3 linked regions of the Kluyveromyces lactis genome follow. The protein of the gene in region 2 interacts with the protein of the main gene of each other region in a biochemical or structural test. Links are inferred from orthologs where the notes say so. Each region holds a gene or a part of one and is shown on either strand. Other genes may lie near its edges. The genes, in order: TUB2, STU1 and SLK19.

Region 1 (6,664 bases), on a different chromosome or scaffold from region 2:
TCAGTTTAGTTCCTTATTAATTTTTTTCTTCGGGTACTATTGTGAAAAATTTATTTCTTTTTGTTCTTGGTATGTTTCGTTGATCTGTGAAATGATTGATCAGGCCTGGGGAAGAGGATAAGTCATTGAAACATTCACATACTACTGTGTTGACATCTGAGTCAAATATATCATGAAGAATCACGTATTATAATGTGAAGACTAAAATTATGTAGTAAGATATGATATTATTAAAAAAAAATAGAAACAAATACTAAAGAAATGTTTTGGGTCACATTGATAGTACATATCATTGAGCAGAGAAACAAAAAGCATATAAATTATAGTAAGGGTGGTATCATATTTCGAAATTTTCCGCTTCTACTAGTGGTGTGGGGAATAGTATTAGAATAGTAGAAGTAACGAAAGGAAAACTATAAGAAGAAAGAAAATATCTTTCTGAAGTACATTGTTTATTGTTTATCTCGTGTCCAAATAATTTGCTTTCAGTGGTACTGCTCTCAAAATGATAAACTTATCTTCTGTACACATCTGATCTTTGTTCCTTATTCCTTTTTTTTTCCTGCTGAAGTTTTCCTTTATATTCTTTACTCGAAGTTTTCAGCCATTGGTTGTTCGTCAACGAATTCCAATTCTTCGTCATCTTCAACAGTAGCATCTTGATATTGTTGGTATTCACTTACTAAGTCATTCATGTTAGATTCAGCTTCAGAAAATTCAATTTCTTCCATACCTTCATTAGTATACCAATGCAAGAAAGCTCTCTTCTTGAACATAACACTAAATTGATCTCCGACCCTTCTGAATAATTCTTGGATGGATGTAGAGTTACCAATGAAAGTAGCAGACATGTCTAAGTCCTTTGGAGGTACAGAACAGACGGCTGTTTGCACGTTGTTTGGAATCCATTCTACGAAGTACGACGAGTTTCTAGTTTGAACCTTATGCATTTCATCTTCAACTTCTTTCACGCTTACTTTACCACGGAAGAATGCAGCAACAGTCAAGTACCTTCCGTTTCTTGGATCAGATGCAGCCATCATATTTCTTGAATCGAACATTTGTTGGGTCAATTCTGATACAGATAGGGATCTGAAAGATTGGGCACCAATCGAGGTTAATGGAGCATAACCAACCATGAAGAAGTGTAATCTTGGGAAGGGCACCAAATTCACGGCCAATTTTCTTAGATCTGAGTTCAATTGACCTGGGTAACGTAGGGATGTAGTGACACCAGACATGACACTTGAAACTAAATGGTTCAAGTTCGCATAATCTGGTTGTGGTAATTTTAGAGTAGTTTGACATATATCGTAAAGGGCTTCATTATCGATACAGAAAGTTTCATCAGCGTGTTCGACTAATTGGTGTACAGATAGAGTGGCATTGTATGGTTCTACAACGGTATCTGAAGTCTTTGGGGATGGGACAACGGAGAAAGTAGCCATCATTCTGTCAGGGAATTCTTCTCTGATCTTAGAGATCAACAAAGTACCCATACCAGAACCGGTACCACCACCAAGGGAATGGGCGATTTGGAAACCTTGCAAAGAGTCACAACCTTCAGCTTCACGTCTGACAACGTCCATGACAGAATCCACCAATTCAGCACCCTCAGTGTAATGACCTTTAGCCCACACGTTACCTGCTGAAGATTGACCGAAAATGTAGTTATCTGGTCTGAACAAAGTACCAATCTTAGAGTTACGTACAGCATCAATGGTACCAGGTTCCAAATCAATGTTAACGGATCTTGGAACCCATTTACCAGAAGAGGCTTCGTTAAAGTAAACGTTCAATCTAGCCTTTTGAATATCATCGATACCGTGATAGTTACCTTCAAAATCCAAACCGTGTTCACCACAAATAGTTTCCCAAAACGCAGCACCAATTTGGTTACCACATTGACCTGTGGACAAATGAATGATCTCTCTCATGTTTTAGAATATCTCTGAGCGCGTTATTGATCTGATCTCAAAAAATGACAATTGAAGAAACACAGCACAGGCAAATTGTAGAAAGACTTGGTGTTGATACAATCGAGGGGTATCTATAATCCAGTAATTGTTGATCCTTGTTCTTTCAAGAAAAAAAAATAATTATGCGATCTCTCTGTCCTTTACAAGAAAAAAGTGAAATATAATATGGGTAAAAATAGTAGTCTTGTCCACAGTATATTAAACAAACAAACTAACAAATCGAAATAGACGAGTTCTCACAGCTGTTATCTATAAAGTTATCTCTAACCCGTGCAAGCCTGTTCACAATCACGTCTGTGTTCACTTATTTAACCACTTTAAATTGTTTATTTATTTGTTTTTATTTGTTTATTTTTTTCCTCCTTCTCTTTCCTCATATCTTTGTTTGTATTTTGATCTTTGTTTCACTTCTTTAGGCAATTTTCGAGCACGTCTATTTCCCTTTGTGGGTTGCTAAGTGTGCGGGTAATACGGGAAACGGAAACTTACATCGCGTGATTTGCACGTGACTGTGATGTGTGAATTCCTGCGTAGTGTCAGTTCATCTAAAGACAAGAGTTGAGGTTGCAAGTGAGCAACACATTCCCCTAAGATTTAGAATAGTTGTCGAAGTGTTCCATGAGTCCAAAGACTGAACAGACTATTTTCTCGGATCATTTTCTTCACAGCTGACTTTCCGTATATGATAGAATCATACGGAAACTGGAATACTGCAATTTTCCCTAACTTTCGATTCTAGCTGACATTTAAAGACGATGTGAAAATTTAAAGAGAAACGGATTTCAGGATTAGGAAATTTAAAGAGGGAAAAAACGTCCAGTACAGTTTGTTAAGAGAAGGAAACCTATTAGTTGGAGAAGCGAAAGAGGGTTTGACTAGTTGGAATTGATCTGTCCAGTGCTACATTTTTATGTATATAGTAATCGGAAGGTTACTTTGATTAAGCTACGGTATTCTATTTCGAACCGAATCGAATCGGATCAGGTTAGCAGGTCTCTTTTTTTTTTTTTTTTCTTATATTTTTGGCTATCAATTGATTAACTGATTGTGTATTGAAGACGAAAGCTGTTTACATATTTAGCTTTTCAAGGTGTTTTTGTCATCGTTGATTGTGAACTCTTAACTTAGCGGCTCAATAGCAGTTGATTATCTCGTCTCCAAAAGAACTTTCGTGAGTTAGTTACTAAGGTTTCATTTTAAAGGTTTTCTTTTCAAGAAGATGTCTGAGGGAAGTGGCAATGGCAGTGGTAATCGTTATTCCAATGCTGCCGGTCAAAATGGAGGCAACAGGCCTGCTCAGAGACCTGTAGCCCCTCTGAGTGCTGTGTTCCGTACGAAGTTGAAACAGCCTCAGTTCTATTGGTTCCTTGGTCACACGTTATGCTTATACTATTATATCCAATATATGCTCTCATTCCGAGAACAAAGTGTAAAGACAAATTACAGGAAGATCATGCTATACACAGTGATCAGTTATGGGATTGTGCTTCACCAATATGTGAAATCAAAACAGTTAAGATTCCAGTGGTCGAATTTAAAACAGCAGATCAGACAGTTGGATAACCTACAATATTTTACACTTTCCATTGTTCTTTTGATATGTTCTCTATCAGGAGGGAAAACTTTAACTCAAACTGAATCATCTATGGTTATATACTCTTTGTTCCATGCATTGAATTATTTCAAAGAGAATGTATTGCCATTCATTCCAATGAACCCCATGTTAAAAGGTTCATTGTCAAATAAAATCTCGTATTTCATCACCAATTTCAACGGGTCTTTCTTCCATGCTGCAGTGATGTCAGAACTTGTAACGATGTGCAAAGTGTGTCTCATGCTGCCCATACAGTTAATCTCTGTGCTTATCACATTCAATGCCAAGAGTTTATTCACACTTCTATCAATCTGGGCATACGCTATATTCTTTAAGTTAAGATACAATCAAAGTGAACAAATGAGGTTGCTATGTAACCAGAACCAAATGATGATTGAAAACTTCATCTCAACTCGTTTGCCTATGTTCATGGACAAATGGTTAGGCATTAAACATTTGGCTAAAGTCTTCTTTGATAGAATCCTTGCTTGAAAACGCTAGAACCAGTTAGAAACTCGAAACTTAAGTTCATTCATAGAGTCTTCCTGCAAGTTAGTCAGTAGAGCATCTAGATATACACATGCATACATATATATGTATCTTAACTTAGAAAAAACTCATCCAAGCAAAGATTCTTGCATTCGCATCTTACATCCTGTGAGATTTTGTAGAGTTTCACATCTCCCCTAAAGATTACTACGAATCATTCCTATCAGTTACCTGAACTTTGTAATGTCTTCATCCATTTCATTACTTGTCCGAAATAGTTCAGTGTAGTGTAACAGGTTCATTACTGATCTATATCAACAACACTGTGTATTTCTGTGTCACGTGATGGTAATCTTTTGTGGAATCTTTTCCGTTCAGGAGAACAAAATTCAAACAGTGAAACCTGGACCGAAATACATTCTATTAAGCAACAATAGCATAGTTTCAGTTATTCCAAATGCGGTTTGATAAGACGCTTGCTTTTTTTCTGGTTACTGTTGCATATTTACTGAAAGCTTAACTAAAGGATAGACTTTTATTTTGGGGTTGTTATCATATTTTATCTTATACTTCCTTTACTCATTTTCTTTAACGGAGAGATATTAACAACGAGGGATACAGAAAGGTGTGTTTAAAATAGAGAAATATTGTAAACTTACAACGCAGTCCATCCAATCACAACTTACAAAAGGAGCCCATATTTTTTAACAAACAGTCGAATCGTATCAGTCGCTATAAACTACAAGCAAACAAAGAAAAAATGAATACCGAATACGATTATTTGTTCAAATTATTGTTGATTGGTGATTCCGGTGTTGGTAAATCTTGTTTATTGTTAAGATTTGCCGATGATACCTATACCAACGACTATATATCCACCATCGGTGTTGATTTCAAGATCAAGACTGTTGAGTTAGATGGCAAAACTGTTAAGCTACAAATTTGGGATACTGCCGGTCAGGAAAGATTCAGAACTATTACATCTTCTTACTACCGTGGTGCCCACGGTATAATTATCGTTTACGATGTAACAGACCAAGAATCCTTCAACAACGTCAAGACATGGTTGCAAGAAATCGACCGTTTCGGTACAGCTGGTGTGTTGAAGTTACTAGTTGGTAACAAGAACGATTTGACAGATAAGAAGGTGGTTGACACCGAAGTTGCTAAAGAGTTCGCAGATTCTATTGGAATTCCATTCATCGAAACCAGTGCACTAGATTCTTCTAACGTTGAGGAGGCCTTCTTGATCATGACCAAGCAAATCAAGGAAAGTGTCGCCAAACAACAAAAAGATAATGGTAGAGCTGAAGACAAGTCCAACGTCAACTTAAAGGGCCAATCATTGACTGGATCCAATGGTGGTTGTTGCTAAATTGGATAGCATCATCGCTATGTTACTATACACTAAGTGTCTGAAAAATCAGGAACTGAATTTAAGAACTGTCTGATAATTACCATATTTCGAAGAATTAATATCCCGTATACATCACAAACAACATTAAGCACCATTTGCCCCACATAGCTTTAACGAAAGAGCCGGTGGTTGTCTATTTAGAGCCTATTATAGTTAGACTTAATTTCAATTACAATCATTATTCCTTTCTTTCTTACTTTCTCTATATATAAGAGAATGTATTCGTAGATATATGATGGATATAGTATATACAACCCCTTCTCTAACATTAATCTATCGGTATCTTACCTGAGATTTATCACCACGTTTTTCCCTCTTCAATTGTCTCTTTGATTTGGAAGGTTCAGCGGGCGTTGTCTCTGCGAGATCCGCCTTTGAAGCTGAGGCACCGGGGAAATACTGTTGCTTCAAGTAGTACAACTTGTAGAAAATAAACGCAGGGCACACTAATACCAAGAACCACCATTTCATCGTGTTGAAGAAAACTGTTCCCAGGTTACAGAACAAGGAAACATACACGATATCTTTCATGTATTCAGTGAGTCCACCAGATTCCAAATCGAACCCTTCATTAACTAGTTTATATTTTCCATGCGCAGCGTTACTGACTTCATATTTTGGTCTACCGGTACGTTCGAGAATATATAAACATAACAACATCGGCACATTGAAAAGAATAGGTTTTAGGGTTGAAATCAGCCCATTACTGAACCATTTCCTCAATAACGTTAAAGATAGTATAGCGACGACTAGTACGTGCAACTGCTTTAAGATGGCTGCGTTCTTTGCAGCAATCTTCTTGGACGATTTTCCAGCCATTCTACAATGGGTGGGTGAGATTCTTCAGAGATAGAGATAGATGTACATAAATGTACTGTCGAATATTAACCTGATCTATTAATACCTTCCCGTTGCTTCAATGATAGTTGATGATGATCCACGTAACATATATTCACGTATAGATTTCAACTGCCGAGTCATTATAATCCGGGTAACGTACATATATGTCACGTGATTTTGAATATACACATTAATATACGGAGGATTAAGACGATATGCGGTCATAATGAATTGTAAAATAAACCAGATGTACTAACATCCAGAGATCGATAACTGCCTCATGAATACAATATACTACGATATAACTATTCTACCGACAGCCTACCAACGTTATATCAAACTTCC
Region 2 (7,633 bases):
TTTAACACAATGGATGTGTTCACCTTCTTTTCCATTTGTTGCTGGATATAATCCTTGAACTCTTGCAAGATCTGATCAGAATATGAATTAACAGCATATTTGTCCTTATTATGATACGAAAATTGCTCCCACTTAATATATATTTCATCCACACTCAAATCATATATTTTCATGTAGTGCTGCAAGGTGGATATTACCTCAGCTTTGTCGGCTGATGCTCCAAACTTTGATACTAACTCGTTCTCAATGCTCATCGTTATCTTAGATGTCGACAGTCAATCAAGCAATATAGATTAAAAATTCAAGCTCAAATAAATGAATGGGACCCAGATAATTGAATGCTAATGGGTGTTGTTCAATGGATTATGTACTCGATCTATATCTATATTCTTAAATGCATTGCATGCTTATATGGAATGATGATTGAACAATATCGATATGCAATATTTCAGCCCAGTCGACGCGTCGCGTCTTTCGTCGTCGATAACGACCTGACGACTTCGAAGTCAGATGGGTCCAACAGAGGCATTAGTGACCGTATATAGCCTACTGGGGTGCTTCTGGATATCAACTGGCTGTATATGGTAGCAAGAGCGGTGCAGGATGCAAATCGCCACTCAGCAACATCGCTTGGTGTATATCTGGAGATTGTTTTAGCGAGATCCCGTAGGACATCTACAGAGAGTAAATTGCCCATCGAACTAATGATACCATTGATTGTCTCTAGTAAGAAGCTGATTTTGACAATGTACTGCTCCTTTGTATCGCATAATGCTTTCAAGCATTTCTCCAAGAAGCTCGGTAGATGTTTGTTGTTGTCTTGAGACAATAAAAGGGTTCTCAGTTCGGTGCAAGCGAAGTATATTTCATTCTCGAAAGTATCGAGCTTAGCAACTAGCGATATAATGTGTTCGAACAGTTGGCTTATGCTTGAATCTTTCAATACTGTATGCTCAAGTTCATCATCAATCGTTAGTAGACAAGCAGTGAGAATGATTGATTTATATGCAATATTTGTAGGAATCTGTGATTCTGATGAACTTGATGAAAGTAATAATTCAGTTATTGCCCAAACATCCTTCAGTTCGTGCTGATCGTGTATCCATTCTAAGACCTCTTGATCGTAGCATAAGAAACATTTCAAGATATATTGCAATTCATTCATTTTGAAAGTGCCATTGTTTATAATCGACTGGACTATCAATTTCAGCTGCGTCAAATTTACGATGCCTATGGAAGCATCGATAAATTTCAATTCAAACGAAAACAACGAATCATTGGCAAAATGAGCAAGGTTGATAGGTTTGAATGTTTTGGGGTCGGAAACAGAACCCATGTTAGTACCAAGAGTTTTAATATCATCTTCAGATCTATTTGCAACCGACCCATCATTTGTCTTGATTTCTATGCCATTTATCGCATCACTTAACATGTCGGAATCGTAATCATGTCTTGGATCATTATTTAATTCCTGAGGCTTGAATATAGGTGATACTGATCCTTCTTGATGTTGATTTTTCAAAAAAATGTCTGTAAGCAATGACTTTTGATCCAAATTAGATTCATCAGGTGAATCGACCTCCATAGGATCAACATTTTCATCCACTGTTTCAGGCTGGAAAACACTGTGCACTTTTGTCATCTCTGTTAACTTTGAGAATCCTCCAAACTTTGTAAAGCCATGTGACTCTTCATGGTCTCTAATTTCTTCATGATCCACAACATCTGATCCGTTTTTTTTAGTGTCGTCATTATCTGAATCAGAAGGCGAATCTGCTACAAAAGATACAGTGTTAACAGAATTTTTGGCAACAGGTGGCACCGTAACAAGGTCCTCCTTCTCTGAGTGGTTGTCTTCGTCAGCAATGATATTAGGATTACTTTCACTTTCGTCTAAACCTTCCAGTGAGTTATGTATAACTGTATTAGAGCTGACAGTTCTTTTGCCCAATGGATTTACCATGGTCATTTCAAGTAAATGATGTTCTTCAGGAGAAACTATAGGTTCAGGCACTGAAGGATAATTCAATATGCTTTTTATTTTGAACTCTGAATCTTTTTTCTGAATAACATTGGCGATTTTCAATTTAGTTGATGCAGTCGATGTTGATTTCAATAAACGTACGAATTTAGTTTTATCTGCAAGATAGATGTTTAAAATTAACTTATAATATTTCTCGGCATCCATATCTTTTCCGCAAGCATTAATTAATTCGTTTATCAGTTGATCTGAAAGGGTAACCGTATTGAGCATTTTTGCTATAGTATTGAAACAGAAATTGTATATCTGATATTTGAATCGCACATAAAATATAGACCATTCAGAGTTTTTATCCTCCAATGATTGTAATATTGAAATAACATTGTTTATAATATCATATGTTTTGAATTGAGTTTCAATCATCGAGATATCGAGGTCATTTAATGGCAATAAAACCATAGAAAAATTTAAAGGAATCAGTTGGTAGAATTTTGGTAAATGCAAAAGGGGTTTGAAGGCTTTGGGGTTAGTTCTTATCAACGACACTATTGCAGATTGGACCTTCTCTTCATCGCCGATTTTGGTATCCGATAATAAATACTTTTGTAGTAAATCCAATCCCAGTTTAGGGTCCTTGGATAAAATGACATGAAGAGGTTCTGGTTCAACCTCTTCTCTCTTCATGTAGCGATTCAACAACGGATTTGTTTGTGAATTTGTCAACTCACTTGTTAAATCAATATTCATATCATGATCCGGAGGTGTACGTAACGATCTTTTGCTAAACGATTGCGTCCCTTGAGCTAAATCCGTTAATGATCTTTTTATTGACGATCTAGGTAAATGGGACGATTGAGTCGGAGCAGCATAACTGGGGAATCGTTTTGGCAGTAAGCTTGACCTTCTTGACGATTCCTTTGATTGAGGAGGGATAGCTGCCTCATAATTGATATCCAAATGGGTAGGAATACTATTTTCTAGAGCTCTTTTGATCTGAGGTTGGAAAAGGTTTAGCATTTTCTTGCCACTCATTGGTGAGACTTTGAACCAGTACCAGAATGTAATTCTCATGGACTCCCTTATGGTTGTCTGAGCGTCTGTTAACCCTTTTTGCAACCATTCCTCGACGTAGACATGATGTTGCGATATCAACCTCTTATGGAACCTTACTATTAGAATTCTGAGGAAAGTGGAAGAATATAGCCTTGATACGTTATTTTTATCTCTGATTAACGCAAAACAGTGATTGAATAGTCGTGAATGGAATGGGACAGTAGATAGTAACGTTATGAGACAAATAAACGCATTTTGATTGGCGATTTTCTTGGTATTTGACATCAATTTGGCAAGGCATGACCAAAGGTTTTCGATAATTGAGATATCCAACATGGAATTGAAAACACAGCAAAGGTCTTTCACCAAGCTGCAACCGTGGGTACAAAGAGAAGTTCTTAACGAAAGGGCCGATTTAGTGACGCAGTATTGTAAATTTAGATCTTTCCATAGTTCTAAAAATTTGTCCGGGAATTCAATGGAAACGTTTCCTAAGACAATGGATCGAAGTTTGGTAACATTTGTCTGTCTAATTTTCCAATTCTGTTCTGTTTCCCTTGAACCTTCAAACGCTGGTAGCATTGACTCCAAATCTTTTATAAGATAACTCAAGTTGCTGTATGAGATTGGCTCTGGGGCAGGTACCGTGGGAAATTGCGGCGCCTGATGCATAATGGATTGTAATTCATTTTGTAAGTTGAAAACTTGGGAATTAATGCTATTTGTATGGGTGATAGACCTATCAAAATCATCTTTCATATCGCTCTCGGAGCCATGATTATTAAGTTTCCCCACCAAACGAGACTTGAAAACTTTCGCTGCACTTTCTCGAATCACTGAATCGACCATACTTCGTACCATAGGCTCGGGGCATCGGTTGGCTACGATATCGTATATCAACTCTATGTCTGTATTCGATATCGAATCATTGGTGTTCATCTCTTGGACCCAAAATGGTATAAATTTTTGCAAGAACATCGAACCGTTTCTCCCGTTGCTCGATTCCATTCTTGCCAACTCATCGATTAGCAACAACACGTTCGTGCGTATGGATCCATTATACGCTATTGATTCGTTCAACACCTGACAAAACTCATTAGGCTTTGCCAAATATATAGCTTCCAATGCCTTCACGGAACTTTGCCAGACTTTCTTATCTGCAAAAGGTATACTGAACAAAGTCGAAACGATTAGCTCGATAAGATCATGCTGGAACTTATGTTGTGCTTGCATTGCAACACGTTTAATCAAATAACACAGAGCTGAATGAGCTAATGCGAACACTACGTCATCTCCATCGTTACCACGTCGCCTATTTGAGCCTCGTTCCACCAGTAACCTGCTTAAATTCTCGAAATATTTCACACACACTTGCTCATTGACCAAAGTCTTCTTCACATGAGCCTTGAACTGGGTCAATATATCCAGTTTCCTCTCAGCTGACAAAAGCTCATCGGACAAACCGTCCAACCCATTAAACTCGTCACTCATGTAAACCTGTATCTTCTGTTTGAAGAGGATCACAATTGTATTAACAGCAGGAGAAAAACTAGGTTAAACACTTAGTAGCGGTAAAAGGTAGTTGATCCAGTGTGATAATCCGGTATAGATGTGTCTACAATTTATGATCCAGTTTGTTTAACAATGTGTTTCCATTATTGATACTTTAGAGATTTCTGTTATTGGTAAACAAATTGAAAGCCGTGTGGTACGCTTGTTTCTGAGCCACTTCCACAAAAGAGGAAAAACACCACAAATGATGGGAAGAAAATATAGGTCACGTGCATTCACGTGACTCGCACCTTACACAATCAAAGTCCCTGGCCCATTGTGTTCGTTTGCGTTGCTTCTTCGACTTTTTCTTTCCTTTTTCTTCCCTTTTCCATGATTACGATTACCGATGCAGTGCTTTTTGATTTTATCATCAACTATGGTAACGATGATGCATGCAATAAGTTAGGATCAGATTAAGTAAAGGTGTCTGTCTCTTTTGCTTACGTTTTCTGTTTCCTTTGATTTGTATATATATATATATATATATATATATATATATATATTATTATTATTAATTGCGTTTTCAATACTCTAAGTTTAATTCTCAGTTAAGTTAGCATCCGTTTCAGAGGTATAAGATAGTTATTATCTGTTTAAAGAATCGGGATCTGAAACTTATAAAGTGAATCAGTACCACGTAAAGCTATTACGTATCGCAGAGTTAGAATCGAATTATCAATTAGAATTACAAAAATTTACCAAAGATGTCTATGTATAAGTTGAATGGGATGAATATGACACACTCTACTGGATCCTTCTTGAATAGTGCGCCAGTAGAGTTGACTAGTATTAAGGGGTATCAAGATTTCATTGCTAAGCAAAAGAAGTTGAAGAACCAAGTGACCACTCAGTTGAGTGAGGATAAGAGTGTTGGTTACGTGTTGAACGATTCCGAGGTGCTTGCTACCGTTTCTGGTGAAGCCAAGGATTATCTTTTGGCACTAAGTGGTGAGAATTAGAAGGGTGTGTATCTCATCAATTGATGGAAGTATCCGCTGATAGAATCAATTAGATATATATATATATATACATGTACGTGTGTACAAGGTTTTTTATTTTAATGTACTTTCTGATTGGAAAACTTATTAATATGTGGTATACTATGTGTGTTGTATTTAGGTTTCCTCAAAACCTCAGGCAATAGGAGTAGATTGGTGGTTTGTATCATTATTTGTATGTAGCGTTAATGGTTTTTGTAAGAGATGGCCCATTCTTTCGATTTTTGTTCTCAAATAGCCTTCTATTTCCTTTGAATGGATCCCATCCTTATGGTTACCAGACCACGACAAGGGTACCATTGGAACACGCTCGACGCAATGTAGATATGGCGCCTGTTCCACTTGTGCTACTTTATCCGGGTTGTTCGTAAGTAATCTGACGTTTGAGATCCCCAAATCGATTAGTATTGCCCTACCTATGGAGAAATCCCGACCATCTGCTGGATGTTTTAACAGCAAGTTGGCCTGCACTGTGTCTGCACCAAGGTCCTGTAAATTGTAAGCCTTTAATTTCTCTCCGAGCCCAATACCCCGGCCCTCTTGTCTTAAATATACGATTACACCATGGCCGTTGCCTCCAACGATATCACCCTCACGTTCCACAGAGATCAGTTTCCCTGCTCTATCGAATTGTTCCCCACAATCACACCTCGCACTCCACGCCGTTTCTCCAGTGTAACACTCCGAATGAATTCTGACTAGCGTATCCTTGTCGCACCATGTCGTATTAGGCTCCACTACGAGTTCTCCAGTCTTTTCATCGAATGAAAGTGAGAGTCCTTGTTTCTCATCCACATCTGCTTTAACTCGGCCAGGGTATAATTTTCCAACGTATGCGCCTCTAATCATGCGCTCTTCCTGCGTCTCGCCTGCGTTTCTCCTGAACAACGACCTGGACCGAATATTCTCTCCGAAGACTATAGCCAGATGTTCCTTGTTGTCTCTGTCGTTCTGGTACAAGTGTAGAAAGATATCTGGACCTTGCACTGTGGGTATTCTTGCTCTTGCAATACACTGAACTTTTGGTAAATCAGACATGGCGCTGGTCATTTCTGGTACACACTTCTCGTTTGCTAGAAAAGAGAACTCAACAAATTATCTAATACAAGAGTACCCAGTATATATAATACCTTCAATGTGACGAAAGGATATTACTTTTGATTTGAAATGACTATTTGGAATTTGTCAAATTTCAAATTCGAAATTTATAAGTCTTAACAATGGAAAGTGACAAATACACAAATTTGACAAATCCATGATTATGGAGAAAAAAAGAGGAAAAGGACGACGGGAGATTACTCCGGGATGGCAGGTCCGATTTCGAGTTAGCTTCTGACTACCGTTGTTCCCTCAATCTTAACACCTTGTTAGTTCAAGAACGAGAGAGGATTCAGTCGTGTCAGGGAAACGTCCTCGGGGGGGGGACCTTTCTTAGTTGAACCGTTTCAATCAATCCAATCAATCCCCATGGTAAATAGGAACTCTTTATAGAAGGAACTCTATCTATGCGCTTAGGCTGGAGAGTGCCATTCGATTCCATTTTGGATTATTAACGTTACCCGACCACACACGTGACATCCTCGGAAAAACTTGTAAAACTTACGTTTTACAAGTTTTTCCGAGGGTAAGGAACTCCGGAATAATTTTCTTTGGAGGGAGACGCAATCGACATTGTCTGTACACAGTTCATTGATTGGAATATCTTCTGAGTTACCTGTACTTGTGTTATATATACATACATATTTACATGGTGCGATGAGACTCATCTTCGTCTCGTCCTAAGTTACAAAACAGATATAACTGGTCTTTCGTTCACATACCAGTCTTAACATCACCGATGTATCTCATACCCCATTCGTCACCCTTGGCTAGTCGTGGCTCATCAAGAACTTGACTTAAAAGGTACCATGGATCACGAGAACCTCCCCACTGTAGTAAACCTTCTTTAAACTTCGTACCATTGGTTCTATTGAATGGATCTTGTTCAAACAAGTGATCCCAGATCTTAGATGCAATGGCTCTGTCGAAGAGATAACTGTAATATGAA
Region 3 (7,067 bases), on a different chromosome or scaffold from region 2:
TGCTCCATCTTCAATGATACAAAGACCTGACGATGAGGATTCAATGCGATAGAGTCAGAGAAAGAGCTGTTTCTGCCCACCGTATTGTCCTGATGGTCTAAATTGTGAAAAGATTGGGTATACTCTTAAAGATAAAACGATATCCTCAAGCTCTTCATATATTGTACCCCAAACTTTACCAGCAAAATCTAAAATTGAAGAATATATCACTCCGTAGACCTCAGATACTGATACTAGGTACTGTTTGATAAATAGGGTTCAAGTTATCACGACGCTATTTGAATGATAAACACGTTACGATATTAAAGTAGCTTTTATGAAAAATATTCTTTGATACGCGATATTCAATTTTTCACGGTTTCTAAAATTTAATGTCCTTGACATAAAAGGGAAGCCGAAGGGAAGACGGCTTGTAACGCGTTTAGTGACTTCTGTCAGAGATGGATATATTACGAGTTGGCGGTAATAATGAGTTGGATCTTTTGTAGATGTTATAATCGACCAGCCAACAGTCTCTGTTCTTAGAAAGAACGCCTGCTGGGAGCAGTTAATTAATGAATGTTGATCCCCGCCTTGGATTATGTAATGCAGTATATATTCGGATTTATTATTATTTAACGAGTAGGCCTTCAAAACTCAAAGAGTGGTTGATATCAAGGTGGTTATGCAGTATCAATACACTTTTCATCTCATTTTAGTAATATTTCCATCATTGTTAGCCAACATTTCCAGCGCCAGTTTGAAGATATTCAGAACATTAGTTAACTGGGTATTTTGTGCCAGTTCCTTTCAAGAAGAATCCTTCAATATTCTCTAACGTGGCAGCAGTCTGCCTTTGGAGTATTTCTATGACTGTGGAGCCAATATGTGGAAGTAAGGTAATATCCCATCTTTCGAAGAATCTTGAATCCACAACGTCCGATTCATTTTTGTAGACGTCAAGGCCAGCTGACATGACCTTCCCACTATCCAATGCATCTAATAAATCATCTTCGTTAATACAAGATCCACGACCAACGTTGACGATACGCACACCGTCTTTACATTTTTCCAATGTAGTCTTATCAATAATATCTTCTGTGTCTGGAGTTCCAGGTAATGCTAGTACTATAAGATCAGCGTCTCTCCAGAACGCTTCATCATCCATGGATGGTATATAATTAGCCTTATATCCTAGAACAGATTCTGGGATAGGGCCATTTCTTTTTGTGTATGATATATTCATGTTAAAAGTTGTATGCAATTTTTTACCAATAGCTTGGCCAATGGAACCAAAACCAACAATCAACGCATTCTTATCTGTTGGTGATTCCATTACTTTGCCCGCTATCTTATAATCCTTCGCAAGGTTCAAGAACTTGTCGTTTTCAGGCTTTTTTGGGAACTTTTGTTGCGCAGAGACCGTCTTATGCAAGTCATCGTTACCTTCAACCAGCGCAAATCCAGGAATAGTATCATGGTGTGTACCTCCGATATATCCTCGACATTCTTGGATGCTACCTCTATGAACAAACCTGAATGAGTGCTCCCAGAAGGACGTCAAACGGAAGCAACTCAATGTCAAGAACACTGCCAAATCAGAAACGTTTTCTGATGCCACTGGACCGCCATTACACAAACTGATGCCGTACTTTTCCTTCAACAATTTCGCGTCATAGAAATCTGTTCCAACCCATGGAACCAAAATCAATTTCAATGATTTAGGGAAATAGTCTAAATACGTGGATGGAGCTTCCAAATACACAAACATTTCTTCAGTGATCCAAAGAGCATCGATATTGCTTGAGAGTAAAAATTTCTTGAAATCTTCAGAATTGGTCAATTCATAATATTGGAAATCAACTAATTCTGCAATTCTTTGGAATTCTGCTGAGTCAGAAGCGATATCGTTCTTATTCTTTCTGGGAATGAGAATCTTGAATTTGGTAGTCATTGTCATTACAATATTCTATCGCTGTACTGTCTTTCGAATTGATATTTTCTGTGACAACCGGATCAGCCGTAGAATGCTTGTGACAATGGTGTAATATTCTGTGAGAATATGCATTCCGTCAGGGAAGACTACGTATTTATAGTTTATATATGAAACATCATATCATGGTCTTCTCTAATATGTAGCAGTCATATTTTCATTAAATGTACCTCCAAAAATCTGTCACAGTCAAAGCTTAGCTTTTTATTTTTCATGATTCATTATTTCCATGACCGCGGTTCGATTGAAGTGCGATAAAGTGCCATTCGGATTTGCAACACCACATTCAGAAATGCAATCTTATTACTCCTCGCAGGCGAAAAGTTTTTCATTGATAACTAAAATACTGCTAATTACAAGAGGACGCGATGCACTTTTATTTATCAATCAATCCATTGTTATGTCATTAGTAAAGGATACATTCATTCGAGAAATTTGTTCCCCATAGTCATCCTTGATATCAGTAGTTCGGTAAAGTGCGGCTATTATAGGCTGAGATCGGCGCAGAACACAACATCCCGAAATGCTCACGAATTGAGTGTCCCATACTGGAAAGAGCATGCGTCGGGAACTTGTCTCTGGAAAACGGAAAAACAAAACGAAAGCAAATACATAATTGCCACCGGAAAGGTTCGAATGGAAGAGAAGATAGTAAGAAAACCAGATTTCTCCGGAGTATATTTGATCTATAATAGGTACGTACTCATATACACACACATTAGTTGTCAAGAGACTTTATTAGCTCTTGTTTTTCCGCTCTCTCTATTTCCACTGCTTTTTGCAATTGATCCACTTCGTCGTGCAATGCGTTATTTTCGACTGTTAGTTTGTCCAACAGGTCTTGGTATTTGGCTTCGTACCCTTTCTTGAGCATCTTGACTTTTTGCTCGTGTTTGGAAGAGTATTGGATGTAAAGATCTTCAGCTAATAATTGCAACTTTTTGTTAGTTTCTGCTTCTGAATCTGCAACCATTTTTTCCAATTTCTGGATCTTAGCTCGGAGTTCATCCGTTTCTGATTTGTTAACATTGGTTTCTGTCTGTGTTAGACGTGCTTTCAAATCGATATTTTCTGCTTCCAATGATTTACATTTATTCTCAAAATTGTTGACAGTTTCATTTAAATTAGCGATAGTTTTGACGTTTTGCTTCAGATTAGTTTCCATATGCGACATATTTTCGTGTAATCTTTCTAGTTCTGCTAAATGTTCGGATTCTATGTTGCCGTTTCTGCTTGTAAGAGAGTCTAAGTCCCTTTTGGTCTGCTCTAACTCAGATAATGATTTCTCTTTATCCTCGGTGACCTGAGTGATATGTGACCTAAGCTCTTCTAATGCTGTTTCCTTTGTACTGAGCTTCAAATTCAATGACTCAATTTCATTCTTCTTACTATCTAATTCTGCTTCAGTGATTTGGAGCTTACTTTTCAAAGAGCTAACTTCATCTGAACCATTTGCTTCAAATTGCTGTAATTTTTTGTTTAGCTCGGTTATACTTAGATCTCTAGGTTTAATTGTGTCTTGGAATACAATTGTCTCTTCTTCCATTTTCTTACGCAGCTCCTGTATTTCACTTTCAACTTCAGACAACTTGTTTTCGTTTCGTTCATATTGTTCCTTTAACGAGCGTAGCTCATCGGTAATTGACTTGAGTTCCTTGGTCTTCACATTAAGTTCCAATAGTAAAGAATCATGTTTATCTTTCCATTCATTGACCAAGTTTTCATTCTCAGTGAATTTGGTATATTCTTTCTCGAACTTCTCAGATAGAATGTGGTTGTTCTGATTTGTCATAGATAACTCTATTTTGACCTCTTTCAATTTTTGTTTGCAGGCTTCGAACTTTTTGCTGACACTATCAAATTGGAGTTTCAATTCATCAAACTGTTCGAGTTTATGCTCACTCCTATACAGTTTTGATAATACGTCGCCATATTTCTGCTCCCATTTGATAAGTTCCAATTTGTCTCTCTCTTTATTAAATTCCGCTTCTACTGTTCTTTCTCGTAAGTTCTGTACAGTATCATTGAGATACTTAATCTCTTCATATTTATCCCATATTACGGATGATAAATCATCAAACTTCTTCTCCCAGACTGTGGGGTCTGATGGGTCGAGAGGCATCTCTTTATCACCATACGACCTTATCGGTGACAATGACTCATGGCAGTGAGCATGTTGTGGTGCATCAGAACCAGCTGATCCAGAAGCGTTTGCAGTGGAGGATTCATGATAACCACGAAATCCATTATTTAACTTGCCGAATGCCTCTTCTTCATCTTCTTCCGCTTTTGAATCCTTTTTGAAATCTTGCACTGCTTCTTCAATGGCTGTGGCGACTGATTTTTTCAAATCAGACTCAATTCCATCATTTCCTTCGATATCTATTTTTATAGGAGATAAACTATTAAGCATCTCAATCTTTTCTGGGGATGAGTACTCTATTTTACTTCTCTTGTAGGTCTGCTCCTTATCGCTCTGTTGATCATCGCTTTCCAATGCGTGTACGTTTTCCTTGTTGCTCTCATCAGGAACCAATCTTATAGGAGAGTTAAGCTTATCACCAGAGCCAGCAAACTCTAGCTTGGGTTTATCTCCGAAATCCATAGGTGCTGTACTCGTGTTCTCTTCACTTATCCGCCGAGAAACGATAGGATGCGCAACAAAACCTCAATTTTAGCACCTCTTTGAAACTATGTAAGTGGTGTCTGTCTTGCTTTGCAATGATTTCGTTGAAGCAGTAATACAATATTGAACTTCAGATCGTGGCACCGACGATATGGATCTGGCCTTTTGTGACAACACACTTATCGATCGTAATGAAGCTTTGTTACTGTTTTTATTTACTATGCCTATGTTTACCATATAAATATCGAACACTGAATATTTAAGCTGAGTACGTGATATCCGGGTAATATATAATTTCATATTATTATTTTTTCAGTGAAATGGAAACTGGAAAATTAAATCTGAATAATAACAATACCTTATATGGAGTGTCAATGAGGAGAGGGAAACCAGCCGCATCAGTAGCTGAACTACTTGTGAAGCGGACACTAAACCTGGGTGGAAACTGTGCAATAGATATTTTTTCAGAGAAAAGCGCTATCGTTCTCCATATTTTGAAACTGATTTTCTGAACACTTTGGAACTTTGATTGAAGTTCCTCCTCTATAAATTAACTTACGGTATCCTATTATATAAGGATTTCAGTTTAACGATTAAAGGAAGGATTATTTTAATTTCTAGTACCGGGTCGGAATCGGAATAGCTTTTAGAATAAACGGCTTAATAAGGTCTTTAATTCTTTTGTTATTATTAGAGAAAGAAGAAACTCTTCAAGTACTTTTCCAATATGTCGAATATCGAGGCATCAAAGGTATATGAAACCGTGCTCGAGACTGTTATCAACGATGTCAGACAAGAATTTGAAGATTCGGGAGTGGATGAACAGACATTGCAAGATCTCAAACGAATTTGGCAGATGAAACTAAGTGAAAGCAAAGCCGCCACATTCATTTGGGACCCAGAAAATACAACCAGTGCATCAACAGTTGCCGAGCCTGTGGTTAAACTACCAAACGGCGAATTCAACGATAATTCCATAAATCATTCTGGAGCTGCTGCTAGTGCCGGTGAAGCAGATATCATTGGCAGCAATATAAATAATGGGTCCTCAGATATGGTGAATAATGATGAACTGCAAATAGAAGATAATGAAATGAAACCAAAACAAGAAATAGAGTTCTCTATGAATGATCCAGATGGAGATTTGACTAAACAGCTGAAATTACAAGCAAAGCAAGCCAAGAAATCCGCGTTATTAGAAACCGATGAAATCAATTCTGATTTGGATGACTCCGATGACGACTATGTCAACATGGACGTCGAGGATGAGGGCACAGATGTCAATATGATGCTATGTCTATATGACAAGGTGCTGAGAGTCAAAAATAAGTGGAAGTGTAATTTAAAAGAAGGTGTAGTGACAATAGACCATAAAGACTTTGCTTTCCAGAAAGCCCAGGGAGAAAGTGAATGGTAATTATCCATTTCCATTAGTTCCGTCTCCTTGCATTATTTTTCTCTTTACTTCAGGTTCTAAAGTTAATATTTTTTTTTCCTTTCTATTCTATCCTACTTTCTATCATAGAGGTTTATGTTCATATCTCCTAATCATTATTGATGTTAATTCATTATTCTCTAACCTTCTGACACTATATAATTCATAGAATAATTTATATAATATCGCTTGCAAAGCCGTCCAAATCGGATCTTAATCAGGTACCCATGTAAAGTTATATGTCTTTGAGCACTTCTTTTAAGCAGCATTGCAAAAGTCACTAAAATATAGCCTGTCTGTAGCTTATTGATACTTTGTGTTACTTGTGAGTTATACAGGGAAATGTACTAAGAAATTTTTGGTACACATTTTCAAAGGGTATGTTACTCATTCATTTGGTTGCTCTTTCGCCTGTATCCATAGCTTGGAGAATCCAAGTACACCAGAGCATAGAGACAAAATGGCATATGTACCAGGTGGTGTTTTGATAGAGAACACATCTGTAGTATCAGCTAGGAAATCAAAGAATAGTCTAGTCAGATCAAACTTGACAATGCGTTTCTCATACTGGTAGTTCTTGAGTTTTTGTACTACTTCCAGTTCTAAATCTAGGTTGTCCTGCTTGAAACTCTCGAAGATAGTCTGTTTTATAAGTGCTGTATTCTTATTGGAATCAACAGATGGGGTGGCATTTAATTTTGAGGATAGTTCCAATGCGCGTTGACGTACCTGATACTGGATCTTCAATTCAAATTCCTGTTGTTTGATTGATTGAAGTTTCTCCCAATTTTTCTTCAACCCTAGCATAATGTCGTAATACCATGAGAGAGCTTCGTGTTTAGAAACCCAGGCATGCATCGATTTATTAGACCAAAGTTTAAGTTTGTATAATAGCATCAATTCATCCATGATTCCGTAATATAAGTCGATGAACTCTGAGAGAGATTCCTCATTCCACCAATTTTTGTACCAAACTAGACCTTTAGAATGTAAAGTTGATGACTTTTGGGACGCATAGAAAGTGCTTATGAGCT

Evidence for each region.
Region 1: the proteins of STU1 (region 2) and TUB2 form a complex in vitro, tested with the Saccharomyces cerevisiae proteins (2 studies listed by BioGRID, with this or other methods). The link is inferred for Kluyveromyces lactis from reciprocal best matches to the Saccharomyces cerevisiae genes STU1 and TUB2.
Region 3: the proteins of STU1 (region 2) and SLK19 form a complex in vitro, tested with the Saccharomyces cerevisiae proteins (2 studies listed by BioGRID). The link is inferred for Kluyveromyces lactis from reciprocal best matches to the Saccharomyces cerevisiae genes STU1 and SLK19.

The regions. Positions count from the first base shown.
Region 1 is NC_006040.1:454,674-461,337, forward strand, and holds TUB2 (beta-tubulin), read right to left. Parts: upstream 1,938-6,664; coding exon 588-1,937; downstream 1-587. Other genes in the region: PER33 (Per33p), read left to right, coding at 3,199-4,065; Rab family GTPase YPT1, read left to right, coding at 4,823-5,437; SND2 (Snd2p), read right to left, coding at 5,753-6,298. UniProt on the Saccharomyces cerevisiae protein: Tubulin is the major constituent of microtubules, a cylinder consisting of laterally associated linear protofilaments composed of alpha- and beta-tubulin heterodimers.
Region 2 is NC_006038.1:1,076,731-1,084,363, forward strand, and holds STU1 (Stu1p), read right to left. Parts: upstream 4,526-7,633; coding exon 449-4,525; downstream 1-448. Other genes in the region: DNA-directed DNA polymerase alpha subunit POL12, read right to left, coding at 1-254; KLLA0_B12353g (uncharacterized protein), read left to right, coding at 5,293-5,547; RIB1 (GTP cyclohydrolase II), read right to left, coding at 5,722-6,636; OCT1 (metalloendopeptidase), read right to left, coding at 7,399-7,633.
Region 3 is NC_006042.1:63,477-70,543, reverse strand, and holds SLK19 (Slk19p), read right to left. Parts: upstream 4,578-7,067; coding exon 2,691-4,577; downstream 1-2,690. Other genes in the region: GTPase-activating protein BEM3, read right to left, coding at 1-8; KLLA0_F00792g (glyoxylate reductase), read right to left, coding at 758-1,939; TOA1 (transcription initiation factor IIA large subunit), read left to right, coding at 5,326-6,015; PEX25 (Pex25p), read right to left, coding at 6,421-7,067. UniProt on the Saccharomyces cerevisiae protein: Has a role in spindle assembly and stability. Required to ensure a timely exit form mitosis. Essential to maintain pre-anaphase spindle polarity. Associates to the plus ends of the microtubules at the kinetochore and spindle midzone.